Arabidopsis thaliana: one gene and its partner. The protein of the gene in region 1 interacts with the protein of each later gene in a pairwise test. Each region holds a gene or a part of one and is shown on either strand. Other genes may lie near its edges. The genes, in order: RAV2 and AT4G09100.

Evidence for each region.
Region 2: the proteins of RAV2 (region 1) and AT4G09100 interact in a two-hybrid assay, tested with the Arabidopsis thaliana proteins (one large-scale study listed by BioGRID).

Annotation. Positions count from the first base shown.
Region 1 is NC_003070.9:25,876,898-25,884,429, forward strand, and holds RAV2 (uncharacterized protein), read left to right. Parts: upstream 1-3,425; 5' UTR 3,426-3,544; coding exon 3,545-4,603; 3' UTR 4,604-4,653; exon of another isoform or gene 4,654-5,058; intron 5,059-5,068; 3' UTR 5,069-5,325; downstream 5,326-7,532. Other genes in the region: AT1G68845 (uncharacterized protein), read left to right, coding at 5,537-5,799, 5,868-6,021; AT1G68850 (Peroxidase superfamily protein), read right to left, coding at 6,909-7,336, 7,477-7,532.
Region 2 is NC_003075.7:5,807,515-5,813,938, forward strand, and holds AT4G09100 (RING/U-box superfamily protein), read left to right. Parts: upstream 1-3,600; 5' UTR 3,601-3,741; coding exon 3,742-4,140; 3' UTR 4,141-4,332; downstream 4,333-6,424. Other genes in the region: AT4G09090 (Carbohydrate-binding X8 domain superfamily protein), read right to left, coding at 1-156; AT4G09110 (RING/U-box superfamily protein), read left to right, coding at 4,974-5,882.

The DNA of each region.
Region 1 (7,532 bases):
GCTAAACTAATCAATGATAATTTTATTTTCAGTTAGTTTTATTTATTTGTTGTTTTGCTCGGCTTTATGAACAGAACATCAAGTTGGACAAAGTCGCTTCATTTCCAGATAGTCACTTTTTTTTTTTTTTTTTTTTTTTTCAGATAGTCACTTTTACATAAAGTATTGATTTGATAAACTTTCAAGTTTATTTAGTTTTGAGTAAATCTAACAAATGCAAATTAGATTATTTGATTCAGCAACATGAAAAAAAAAATTAGCTTATCGTCTAATATTTTTACATAAATTCATTGTTGACAATATTATAAGTGAGATCATTTATATATATTGTAAACGGAAACAATAATATACTTATGTGTAAACATTACTTAGTGAGGTCATGGAAACTCGCTAACGAGTGGCTGCTGCAATTTACAAAAGTTTGATGTGTATAATATTTAATTAGTCGCACGCTAGTTAATATTTAAGTTTTCTTCTTTTCACTTTTGTATCCAATTATATAGTATGTAGGAGCCACAAAATTGAATCTATTAGTTAAATTAAGTTGGTTCTGGTGGTATAATCATTTAATTAAGTTAGTTCTGGTGGTCCAAAACTAGGCCACGAGTTTCATTATTCCACCAGAATTATATAATTTAGTTAGTCAAGTCTGATTAGCCGAAGATGGAAATACGAAAAAATGTCAATAATACATGAAGTCTTTGTCTTCTTACCAAAACTGTACGATCTCAACGATGGAAGATAAGAATCTAAAACCAACGAGTGAGATGGAATCGGAATATTACTAAAATTAGGATGAGATGAGGTTTGGGTCCATACTTAACAGTGACAAATGACAATGATGGAGCTGACTTTTTCGTTCTTAAAACGTATCACAAGTTTTCTCCTACTTTAAATTTCATCTCCAAATTGTTGACCAAACGACATCGTCTGTTGCGACACCTTACCCCGATGTTTTTTCCTACGTTGCATGGACCTTTTCTTATACTTTCAAATAATTATTTGTCTTTTTTTCTCAACATTTATATCCACATTTTAACGATTTTCTCAGGATATTTTCTATCAATATGCTTAATTTTCTTTCTTTTTTTGTTAAAGAAATTAATTCCCATAGTTAACATGAGAGGGTTTAGCAAAATATGCTTAATTTTCTTGTTCGCTGATGTTTTTATTTTTATTTATTATTACTGATTCAGCATTCAAACTTATCATGTGATTTGGATGGTTATTGAAGTTTCATATTAATTGATAAATTAAATGTGTTGGGATGATGAGAGGTGATATAGAAATACATATTGTAGTGTTTAAATAGATATGGATTCAAGTATATAATTAATTCTTCTTAATCAAATTAATTTGAGTTGGACTAGTAGTCTAGTAAGTAGTAAGAGAACATATTCGGATGGTATCTTAAATTTATGAAATACAGTGTGTTTTCAGTTTTTATTGGTAGCAACAAATTTATCGGTTCATACCTCAAAGATAGTATTATACGTGTCTACGATTATATAAAAAAATCAATACAAAATAATTGTTCATTCAAGAAACAATCGGACGATATGAACATTATAGTTACAAACTAGTAAAAAGCTATAAATATGTAAAGTGAAAACTATTTAAAAGGGTGAAAATTAAAACGTATCAACGTTGGAGTGTTTCAAAAATATTTGGTTGGATAAGCTCAAACTAGTCAAATTGTCTCCCCTCCCAAGCGGGAACATCACGCCATGTCCACAATAAATCCATTTTTCTTTCTCTCAAATATATATAGAGATACATACATCGATACTATTCTATATATTATGTAACAAATTAGAAATATCATATACCACATGGTAAGTTGTATAAAGAGAATTATTAGTGTTTGCTTATTGCAAAATTAATACAAAACATTTTCTATTGAAGAGCTACAAATTAAGAAGGAAACTGAAAAATATAATAAAAAGCAGAATATGTTACGATATTTGTATGAGTGTATGAGACAACAGTATCAGATAAGATCATAATCCTTGCGACCAACCTATCCAAAAGTCTCTTTTTTGTTTTCTAATCAATTTACAAAACATTTAACCAATAAAAATATAAAGATGGTGAAAAAAATATGGTCATACAACAATTGCTTCAAAGGGGGATGAACTAAAATATACCAAAAAAAGAAGTGAGGATAGGTTCATGTGAGCCCCCATCCCACTTGACCCTCTTGGTAGGTCCACATTTACCATGAACATGTAACCCATTGGTTATTCATTTGTATGTATTGTTTTTTGTCAATGACTTAATTTTATTTTATTTTCTTCTTCTCTGACTTTTTTTTGTTTATCTGACTCTTCTATGTATGTCAAAATGTAGCAAGATAATTGAACATATTTGGATTGTTGAAAAACATATCGATATTTAGTGAATTAGTTTCTCCTCCAAGCATCTAGAATGTCATAACTGTGTTGAATTGTACATAAAATTTGATATGGATTGATCATTGATAATAAATCAATGAATTAATGATCTATTAGAATATGAACTTTTCATTCAAATTTAATTGATAATAAGTGGATTTGTCTATATGTAATATTTTAGTCAAAAAAATTGTTTCTTTTCAATGCGATATTATTATCCTTAAAACGTTTTCTCGAGATAATTTTTTTCCGAGCCATTAATTTTAGTATGTTCAGATATAGATCGACAGAAAAACTATAATTACGTCGGACCAATTGTAGATTGGATTGAATACATATGGATCAGATTCTAATACCATATTAGAATATGAGGTATCTAATTCAAAACCAACTATTAATAAATAGATTGACTCATATATGTCTTATATACTAGTCAAGATTTCTTTGTCTTTTCTAATGTGGGATATTATTATCCCTAATATCATGAATAAAATCAAGAGTTAATGTTTAACTATATCTAATCTATACTACCCATCTTTTTTCGGAAACTATATATAAGTTATAAAACCAAGAAATTCTCGTTATCCAATAAAAATAATAATTTTGACTATGGTTATATATCAGTTTCAACAACTTATATGATGATTGATGAGAACCTTATTTTATGAAAGTACGTGGTAATGTGTTGTAAGAAAATGTTCTTACGCCGTTGAAATATTTTTCCAAAAAATGTACATAACAAACGTACGATATGTATGTAAAAGCCGTGGTACTACATTTATTTTTGTCTGCCCTTCTCGGAAACTTCCTTCAAAGTTATTTTTGCCGTTCTTGAAAGCGTTGACCCTACCTTTCCATTTTTAAAATGTTCTCTCATTTTGACCCATTTTTTTCCATAAACCAATCAAATTTTAACTTTCAAAAACATAAAACTAATTAGATATAAAATAATAACATGTACATGCACTTGCCTCGTCCATTCCTCACATCATCATATGTCTTTGTATATATATAGATGAACCAAAGAAATGAAAAAGTAACAACGTCACCTAAATCTCTCTCACCCAATTTGTGTTTCTTCTTTCTGCTAAAAGGTTATAATTTTTGTTTCTTGGTTTGGTGAGAATCTTCAAGAAACTGAAACAAAGAAAATGGATTCTAGTTGCATAGACGAGATAAGTTCCTCCACTTCAGAATCTTTCTCCGCCACCACCGCCAAGAAGCTCTCTCCTCCTCCCGCGGCGGCGTTACGCCTCTACCGGATGGGAAGCGGCGGGAGCAGCGTCGTGTTGGATCCCGAGAACGGCCTAGAGACGGAGTCACGAAAGCTACCATCTTCAAAATACAAAGGTGTTGTTCCTCAGCCTAACGGAAGATGGGGAGCTCAGATCTACGAGAAGCACCAACGAGTATGGCTCGGGACTTTCAACGAGCAAGAAGAAGCTGCTCGTTCCTACGACATCGCAGCTTGTAGATTCCGTGGCCGCGACGCCGTCGTCAACTTCAAGAACGTTCTGGAAGACGGCGATTTAGCTTTTCTTGAAGCTCACTCAAAGGCCGAGATCGTCGACATGTTGAGAAAACACACTTACGCCGACGAGCTTGAACAGAACAATAAACGGCAGTTGTTTCTCTCCGTCGACGCTAACGGAAAACGTAACGGATCGAGTACTACTCAAAACGACAAAGTTTTAAAGACGCGTGAAGTTCTTTTCGAGAAGGCTGTTACACCTAGCGACGTTGGGAAGCTAAACCGTCTCGTGATACCTAAACAACACGCCGAGAAACACTTTCCGTTACCGTCACCGTCACCGGCAGTGACTAAAGGAGTTTTGATCAACTTCGAAGACGTTAACGGTAAAGTGTGGAGGTTCCGTTACTCATACTGGAACAGTAGTCAAAGTTACGTGTTGACCAAGGGATGGAGTCGATTCGTCAAGGAGAAGAATCTTCGAGCCGGTGATGTTGTTACTTTCGAGAGATCGACCGGACTAGAGCGGCAGTTATATATTGATTGGAAAGTTCGGTCTGGTCCGAGAGAAAACCCGGTTCAGGTGGTGGTTCGGCTTTTCGGAGTTGATATCTTTAATGTGACCACCGTGAAGCCAAACGACGTCGTGGCCGTTTGCGGTGGAAAGAGATCTCGAGATGTTGATGATATGTTTGCGTTACGGTGTTCCAAGAAGCAGGCGATAATCAATGCTTTGTGACATATTTCCTTTTCCGATTTTATGCTTTCGTTTTTTAATTTTTTTTTTTTGTCAAGTTGTGTAGGTTGTGATTCATGCTAGGTTGTATTTAGGAAAAGAGATAAGACCAAAAAATAAATTGGAACAATGGTTTTGTGGAAAAGTGGTAAATAGACCTACCTCATAGTAAAACGTTACCGGATACAACCTAAATGTTTATCCGTTCCTAAAACTAGATGAATCAAATTAATTAACTATCTAAAATTGCATGATAAATCGGAAAAAGAGGATGAATTCTTGGCAATTTCATCCATTACCGTACAAGGACTTATTTCTCTTACTTGGCAACTAAAGGATGCTCATAGGTGTCTTAATGATCTCACATAGCAAGTTAGCAACCTTTTACTCTCTTTTTTTCCAAGATTACTCTACTCTAGGTGTTGCTTCTGTAATTCCTTTATTTTCATTTCTAATGATATTTACAAGTTTTGCAAAAAAAAAAAAAAAAAAAAGTTAGCAACCTTGGAGTCTCGACCAATCTTGAGGGGAGGATATGGCATGAATGATGTAATTGTAGAGTCATTCTCGAAATTCACCACTTCATAGCCCACATTGTCAAGGCACCATTCAAGCTTACAAATTAGCAGTAGTCTGCCTCTTATCGTCTCGAAGTTTTCTGGTATTGGTATAAGCTAGGTTTCGTTCCCCAAAGGTCGAACCATTAATAAATGACTGAAATCTTTTAACCTCAAAACAGAAATATGTAAACTGAACGAAATCCAAAATATAGTAATGTGTTCCCGAACAGATTCAAGCGACTTATAGTGCTTCTGGCAAACCTCACACGACTAGGCTGGTGAACGGAATGGTACGTAACCATTGCTAGAGGTTGTATGGCTTCAGTTTGTTCAGTTCAAGTACAAGAATCTTGGGGATTTTTGTGAACATTGCGGTATGATTAGCCATCGGAAGTGTGAAAAAGTCGCAAAACAGAGATGTTTGACCCGCGCGGGTTTAAAACGATACGATTCTCAACGGGTTGGTAAGGGTTTATCCGTGAAGTCTCACTACTCCCAGTCGTATGTTGACATGGGTTTACTGTTCGAGGAGACACTTACTTACGCTCAGTTCATGGTAGAGGTTAGGGTTGATGTTGTTTACGCAAGCGAGCATGAGTGGGGCGGCAAGAAACTGATTCGTTCCTTGTTGGTAAGTAAGTATGATTATTGCTTCGGGTTTCCTTGTTTCCCGACACGATTCATTAATGATGTTTTACCATTTGAAGAGATAAGATCTCACATCTGGCGAGGTTGACGACCGAGGACAAGGCCAGCATCGTCCGTGGACTAGCAGATCACTTAATGAAGCAGAGGAGGACTTGGTCAAAGCAGAGATGGGTTCCTCTGTTGTTCATGTCGAGAAAAAAGGAATGGTACTGATAAATTTGATGAGGGTAAGAACACAAAGGTGTTTAGGAAAAATTATAATAGACTCTGATATGAATAATTGTACAAGATACATTCTCTTATATAGAGATGAAAGCGTCGATTATCTAGTGAGGGTTATTAGAGGTGTGATGAATGAGTTCGGTTTTACTCACTTCCCGGATTCTTATATTAATCGTTTGGTGACATGGGTGAAAAACTCCAACTACTTTTCACCAAATTTTCCAAAAGATTGCATCCTGATAACAAATGTGTGGCAGTGCTTGGCCCTGACATGGATTTGTTTGGCACATGTTGTATATGTCAAGAAGATTTCTTTCTTGGGATGGAAGCAACCGTTACTTCTTCTTGTTCTCATGTTTTCCATACTTTCTGCATTGAAGACTGGATGCAACAATCTCAAAATTGTCCACTTTGTCGTATCCTGCTTCCAGTATCAAGTAGGTGAGATCGAGTCTTGACGTCTTTAGCCTGTTTCCATGCTAAATTCTTAGAAACTCTATCTTTTACATGAGCAGAATTTTGCTTTGCTTGTCTCTTTATCAACCTTAAATTTCATTATACATTTTTTGAAAAGAATTATTTCTTCTTTCGAACTTACAATATTGGAGTTTGAGTTTTTGCATATATAGTGCAATTATTTTATTGATTTTGTTGCATGCACAACCATAAATATAAAGTCAAACCAAAAAAACAACTACAGACTCAGATCAATTGAAAATCATTAGAATAAGGTTTTAAACATTCAAGAACCCTATAGTTTTAAAAATGTAGAAATAAATAAGGGAAAGAATAACATCAAATTAAATTTTTTCTTTCTTATATAAATAAAGATCAGAAATAGATTATTTTCTCCATTTTTTAGTTTCGTTGTTGATGAATCATGTATTCACAAATCTGCAATTTCTTCTAACTTCTCCATCAGCCAAGCTTTCAGAGTTCAAAATGTTCCCCATCTTTACCATCGACTTCGAGAATTGCTCGAAGAAAGCCACTGGATCCTCCGCATACTTGCTCACGATTCGCCGCGTTTGTATCCCGAACAAGCTCGTGTACATCTCCTGGTCCGAATTCAGTAACCCTTCTCCTCTTAGCAGTGTGTGGTAGATCGAGTTATCGAAGAGATTCGGCGTCACATTGTCTATCGCCGTCACGTTACTATCACCTTCTCCGCTACTCGCCGGACAAATCTCTCGAAGACTTGCCAAGTACGTCTCCGAAACTGGATTTAGGGCTGACGTCACTTGAAAATCTCCATAAATTCGGGATCGGAAGTTGCGACATTGTGCTTTTCCGATCGTGTGCGCTCCTAGGAGATAGATTATTGGTCAAGTTAGGGTTTTAGTAATCCGGTTTACGACATTTTATATCATATTATATTCAATCATATGGTTTTAACTTCTATTACAAGGAATTTCGGTTTAGTTTGGTTAAGAGGATTGATCTTACCTATAAGAGCGACCATGTCTTCAACCGAGAGACCTTGAGAATAGAACTTAGCAATG
Region 2 (6,424 bases), on another chromosome or scaffold:
ACTACATCCAAAATTAATATTTCCTTGTAGTTGCGCATTCGTTGCGTTCATCTTTGCTACACACCATTTTGTGGAACTCGCCACATGGAGGTGGTTGATCATTATGGAAGATAGAATGATGAAAAGAAGTGCCAAAAGTGATGATATTTTGGCCATTTTTTTTAAATGACAATTCAATTGAGATTCAAGTAATTTTGTTTTTGGATGTCTATGTGAGTAAATGTATATGTGTCTTTATATATTACTAGATAGTATTTAGAAGATAGTTTATATGTTTTTATATACATAGATGTCTATAAAAAAAAGTTTAACCATATAAGAAGTCAAAGATTTTAAAAAACTTATGAAAATGAAAATATACATATATTATTAGAAATATATCTTTATAATTTGAAATGATATCTAAAACTTTTAACCACTAGATAGTAGAAAATCAAAGATATAAAAATATTTTGGAAGAAAGAAATATATCTTTATAATTAGAAATATATCTTTATAATTTGAAATGTATGATTATAGAAACAAAAAGATAACTTTATAACTTTGAAATTATATGTCTATGAAAAAGGTTCTATATATTAGAAAACCAAAGATTTAAAGATATTTAAGAAAATAGAAATATATGAGTAACATCTCAAATCCAAAGCTTGGTCAATGAGAGAGAGAGCGCTACTAAATCGTCAAAAGAGAATAAAGCTAGGAAAAATATATAAAGTTGGTTTGGGGGTTTGTCACGAATGAAAATAGAAAATTAAAAATGTAAACAAGAGAAAGAAACGCAAGAAAAAGTCAATAAAATGATTGTTGGGAATTCATGGATTTTGCAGGGGTATTGATGATCATTTCATTCAAAGAAATCTAAGATATGTAATAATTTATTCTATGTTCACAAACTAGAAACACAAATGAATAAAAGAGCTACCATTTGCAGAATCAATTATGTAAGGTCTAGATACACCATTACTCAACAAATCGCTGGACGACACATCTAGTCATGCGTTATAAGCAAGTAAATTCACATATACACTAAAACTAATGGGTATGTATTAGGGATATTGTCTCACATCAGAAGATGAGTATGATTAGTGGTATATATAAAATATGAGTCTCTCCACTCATTGCTAATTGGTTTTAAGTTGGAAATCCACAGTCTAATATGGTATTGGAGCCCGATCCGCACATACTCAACCCAATTCACATCGGCCCATCCCAATACTTGGCCCACCAATCCATGCCCGAGCTTATCAAGATTGATGGCTAGATTTTCGAAGAGTCCTATTAAGGATATTGTCCCACATCGGAAGTTGAGTAGGATGTTAAGTGGTATATATAGTATATGGGTCTCTCCATTCATTGTCAATTGGTTTTGAGTTGGAAGCCCACAGTCTAATAGTATATGCTTATTAAGAGATCTAACTCATCCAAGTCTAGGTTCAAGCAAGTAAACTACACGGTTGGCGATTCTACTTCCTTGGAATAACCAATCAATTCTTGATGTCAACCATATGCATTAAGATTAAGTATAAACGAAGAACAATGTAAAACAAAACAACCCTAGAAATCGCCACTCAAACTAACTGATCATGAAGTTCTCTTTGAATAACCCTTTATAACCAACTAATTTAAAGGAATCAACAAAACAAGGTATATATATATATATATATATATATATATTAAGATTCAGTGAGTATACTTGTTTTTATGATCGAGCTTTTGTGGAATAAGGATATGTAAATGTGGTCAGTTCAGAAGTGACTTACTTATTTTCTTAAAAAGATAAAATTTTCACAAATAGCATCATTTCAAGTTTTTTGGACAAAAATATCACTCAAATAAATATTTTATTTTTAATTATTAAAATTTATAAATAAGAAAATTCAAAAAATAAATAAATTTCAGACAATATTTCCCCCCAAAAATTTCCATCAAAATTATTTCCACCAAAAACTTTTATAAACAAATTTTCCCGAAAAAAAAAAAAGAAATTCACGAAAGATTTTATAAAATTCATGAAGGATTTAAGAAATTCATGAAGGGTTTCAAGAAATTCAGAATTAAACTTTTTTTTTTTTGTAACCCTTCCTTAATTTCATGATAATTTTTCATGAATTTTGTAAAATCTTTTCTGAATTTTGTGGAAACTTTCAAGGAAATTTAGGAAGACTTCTACAAAACTAAGGAAGGGTTTCACGAAAGATTTTTTTTTGTGAAATCCTTCTTGAATTTTGTAAAATCTTTCTTGAATTTCGTGAAATTTTTTCCAGTTTTCGTAGAATCCTTCCTAAATTTTCTTATGTGGAAAAAATTTGACGGAATGTTTTGACAAAAATTGTTTTTGGCGGGAAAGTTTTTACGGAATTTTTTTTGGCGGGAAAATTTGACAAAAAAAAATTCACGGAAAAATTTGAAAGATTTTTTTTTCACGGAAAACTTTGACTGATAATTTTTTTAATTAGGTGCTATTTTAGGAAGAAAATGTTTTGAGTGCTATTTGTAGATATTTTCAAATGAGGTGCTATTTTTGGAAGAAAATGTTTTGAGTGCTATTTGTAGATATTTTCAAATGAGGTGCTATTTTTGGAAGAAATTTTGTGTGCTAATTGTGTCAATCTTTTTTTTTTTGTTAACCGATATTAATTAGAGCTCAACAAAGTCAATTCACGTAAAATGTTGTTTACATATGTGATATATTGTGGTTCAATATAATTTTTTTTGTGCAAAATTATCCGTATTTATATTTGCACTATGAAATATTAAAGGTAAATAAAAACTTATGAATTCTTCTTTATTAATTCCTTCAAATATACTGAGAATAATAATTCTTGTAAACTAGAGAAATTTTAACATTAACCTATTTTTCTATTTTCTTTGGGAGTTTCCTATTAAGGTAACTTTAAGAATAGAAACTAGTTATGTATTTAAAACGATACAAACTAGGATATCTAAATTGTATTAAAAAGATTGTACATTCAAAATTTGTATACGAGATCTTCAAATTTTGTATATAAACATCGAATTATATAAAATATTTTTAATAACTAAAAAAAAATATTTGTATCTTTGGCGGTCAACTAAACCTTTTTTTATAGCATATATATATGATATATAAAGTTTCTTTATGATATAATTATCTATCTAACATTTAAGATTGTATTAAAGTTTCGAATTTTATGTCTACGTAATTTTGTTTCCTTTCATTTTATACACAATGTTGTATTGTTTGTACATGAATTCTTTTCAAAATAATTTTTTAGATATCATTCATATAAAATAGAGCTAATGAGATAATAAATTACCTTGAAGGCTTGAACATTGTCGAGACAAAAGTTGAAAACAGAAGGACAAAAGATCACTGTCAAATAATTATTAATACATCAGAAAAATAATTAAAAACGATAATATTGTTTTCAGTATTCACCTACACATAATATGAATATCATGTTTACATATTTCGACCTTTTTTGATCGGTTCTAATAATCTATATCTCAAAACTAACCAATCTCATCTAGATTCCGTCAAATTAAGTTTAGTCTATAATTACGAAACTAAAAAATATTAGCAAATGGGAAAGTGCTAGAGTCATTGCACTAGTTTATTATGTGAAACACGAAGAAACACGGTGGCGCGTAGAAATCACCTAGAAACTACGAAGAAGACGTGAACCCCACGTCTCTCTTTCTTCTTCTTCTTTCTCTATCTCTTCCCATTACAAAACTCAAGAAGATGTTAAAGTACGAAACATGTCATACTTCAAAAGAAACGAAGGAACAATTGTGTTTGCGTTTGCGAGCATCGGGTTCATAGCGTTTTATATCATTAATTACTACATTCGGCGATGCAGAAACCGTGCCGCAGCAGCCGGGGACATTGAGGAAGCTCGAATGAGTCCGAGGAGGCCACCGCGAGGACTTGACGCTGAAGCCATCAAGTCGTTTCCTTCATTCGTTTACACGGAAGCTAGAGGAATTGAGCCAGGAATAGGCGAGCTAGAATGTGTTGTGTGTTTGAATGAATTCAAAGACGATGAAACGCTGCGTTTGGTACCACCTTGTGTACATGTGTTTCATGCTGACTGTGTAGACATCTGGCTTTCTCATAGCTCCACATGTCCTATCTGTCGTGCTAAAGTAGTTCCTTAATACGAGTCTCTTAATTAGCCTTTTACTATGCATTTTGCGTTACATAGTTCTCCCTTTGTAAATAAATTATCTTTATAGTGTTGATATTTTACCAACCGTAATGATGATACTACTCCATGGAAGGAAATAATCTACAAAGGAATTGAGGCATATTGAATTATTCAATGTCATGATGATGATGATGAATTAGACTAGAAAATGACAAAAACATAGTTTATCTCTTTGGTTACTTGTTCATGTATTACACACTAAACACATCTATTTGGCTTTGGAGAGGGACCACCTATCATGCTGTGTACAACAAATATGTATATATGTAAGTTACAAGTTAATGAAACGTTCGGATATATAGTTATATACCATACTTTGAAGGCTTTAATTAGTTACTCATATGATGTAAACATTTGTTATGGTGCGAATAATCTAGCACCAAATACATAAACCTTATTGGTCCGTCACATTCCATTGAGAGGACGTGAACATCAGAGGGATGTGACTGACCAATAAGGATTAGGTCAAAACTGTTGGAAAAGTCTTGTTGCGTAGATCAACAAGTTAATAGAGAGGGCATGAGTAATGTAGTACTTGTTCTACGTCTATAGTGACGTAAAGACTTCTTCAAAAGTCAAAACGTTAGAGGAAGAAGCCAAATCAATCATTCCGACCAAAACTAATCTAACTAAACATAGTAGTAATACAATATGTATTGTCGTGACGAGTACAAACCAAAATGTGTTTAGTATTATAAAAACGGCTTGTTCGTATTCTCTTCTCTCGCTCAACACATGAAGCTCAAGTGATCCACCGTGGTTAGCAAAAGGACGGTTCACATCATGACTATATTCGCGAGAGATCTCATCTATAGGATCGAAACGAAGGTTTTGTTGCCGCTCTTCCTTGTCCATTTGTTACCTTATGTAACATGCCAGCAAGAGTCAGAATCCGTAGACCGCAATAGAAAAACCAATTTCCCAACGGAAACGGTAATCGCAATCATTGTGCTTGCAATATTTATCTCATTAAGCATGGTCGCTTGTTTCTTGCACAAAACATTCTATAGAGCAGAGGTTGAGGCGGCAAGCCAAGAAGTGTTTCACAGTAGAGCGAGGCGTGGGCTCGAGAAGGAACTCGTTGAGTCCTTTCCAATTTTCCTCTATTCGGAGGTTAAAGGGCTCAAGATAGGCAAAGGCGGAGTAGAATGTGCAATTTGTCTAAGCGAGTTTGTGGATAAAGAAACACTACGTTGGATGCCTCCTTGTAGCCACACTTTCCATGCTAATTGCATTGATGTGTGGCTCTCTTCTCAGTCCACATGTCCGGCTTGTCGTGCAAATCTGTCTCTCAAACCCGGTGAGAGTTATCCATATCCGATCACGGATCTTGAAACGGGAAATGAACAAAGAGATGAACATTCATTGCTTCAACTAGGTACGAATCTAGATCGATTCACACTTCAGTTACCAGAGGAGATGCAAAGACAATTGGTTAGCTTGAATCTGATAAGGACAAGCAACATGACCTTACCTCGAGCCATGAGTTCGAGACAGGGCTACAGAAGCGGTTTCTCTCATGGACGACAAACACTTCGGCGGGCCATATCTATGTCTCTAAGTTTCTCTTTACAAGCTGCTTCTGTTCGTTCCACAGTTGGCAGAGACGATCTAGTGCTAGAGACTTCCCAAGCTAAGGACAAAGATTTATGTGAACAGTCGTTCCAACACCTCATGCCAGAGAAGGTCTAATCTTCTCTCTTATCGCTCCACGTGTCCTATATGTGGTGCTGATGTAGTTCCTTAATCGTGTCTCTTAACCTTTGACTTTTGATTTTCCGTTTCATGCTTCCCTTTGTGAATAAAATTATCTTTGTTTTAGGCTTTCAACAATTTCAGTTGTCTAAAAATTAAGGATTAGGTCAAAACAATTTCAGTTGTCTAAAAAATAAAGTCTTGTTGCGTAGTCAACAAGTTAATACACAAACCTTATTGGTCCGTCATATTCTCTTTGAGAGAACATAAACAACAAATGATGGTTTTTCAATTGTCTATACGTAGGGCGAGGTCAAAACTGTTAACATAGTCTTGTTGCGTACTCAACAAGTTAATAGATAGGGTATCGGTGTAGTTGTAGTAGTACTTATTCAAAGTCAAAACGTTAAGAGGAAAAGACCAAACTAATCATTCGGACCGAAACAATTCCAACTTAACATAGTAGTAATACAATATTTACTGTCGTGACGAGCAGATCTTATTGATCTACGAATCAGAATCTCTAAAGTGTAACAACT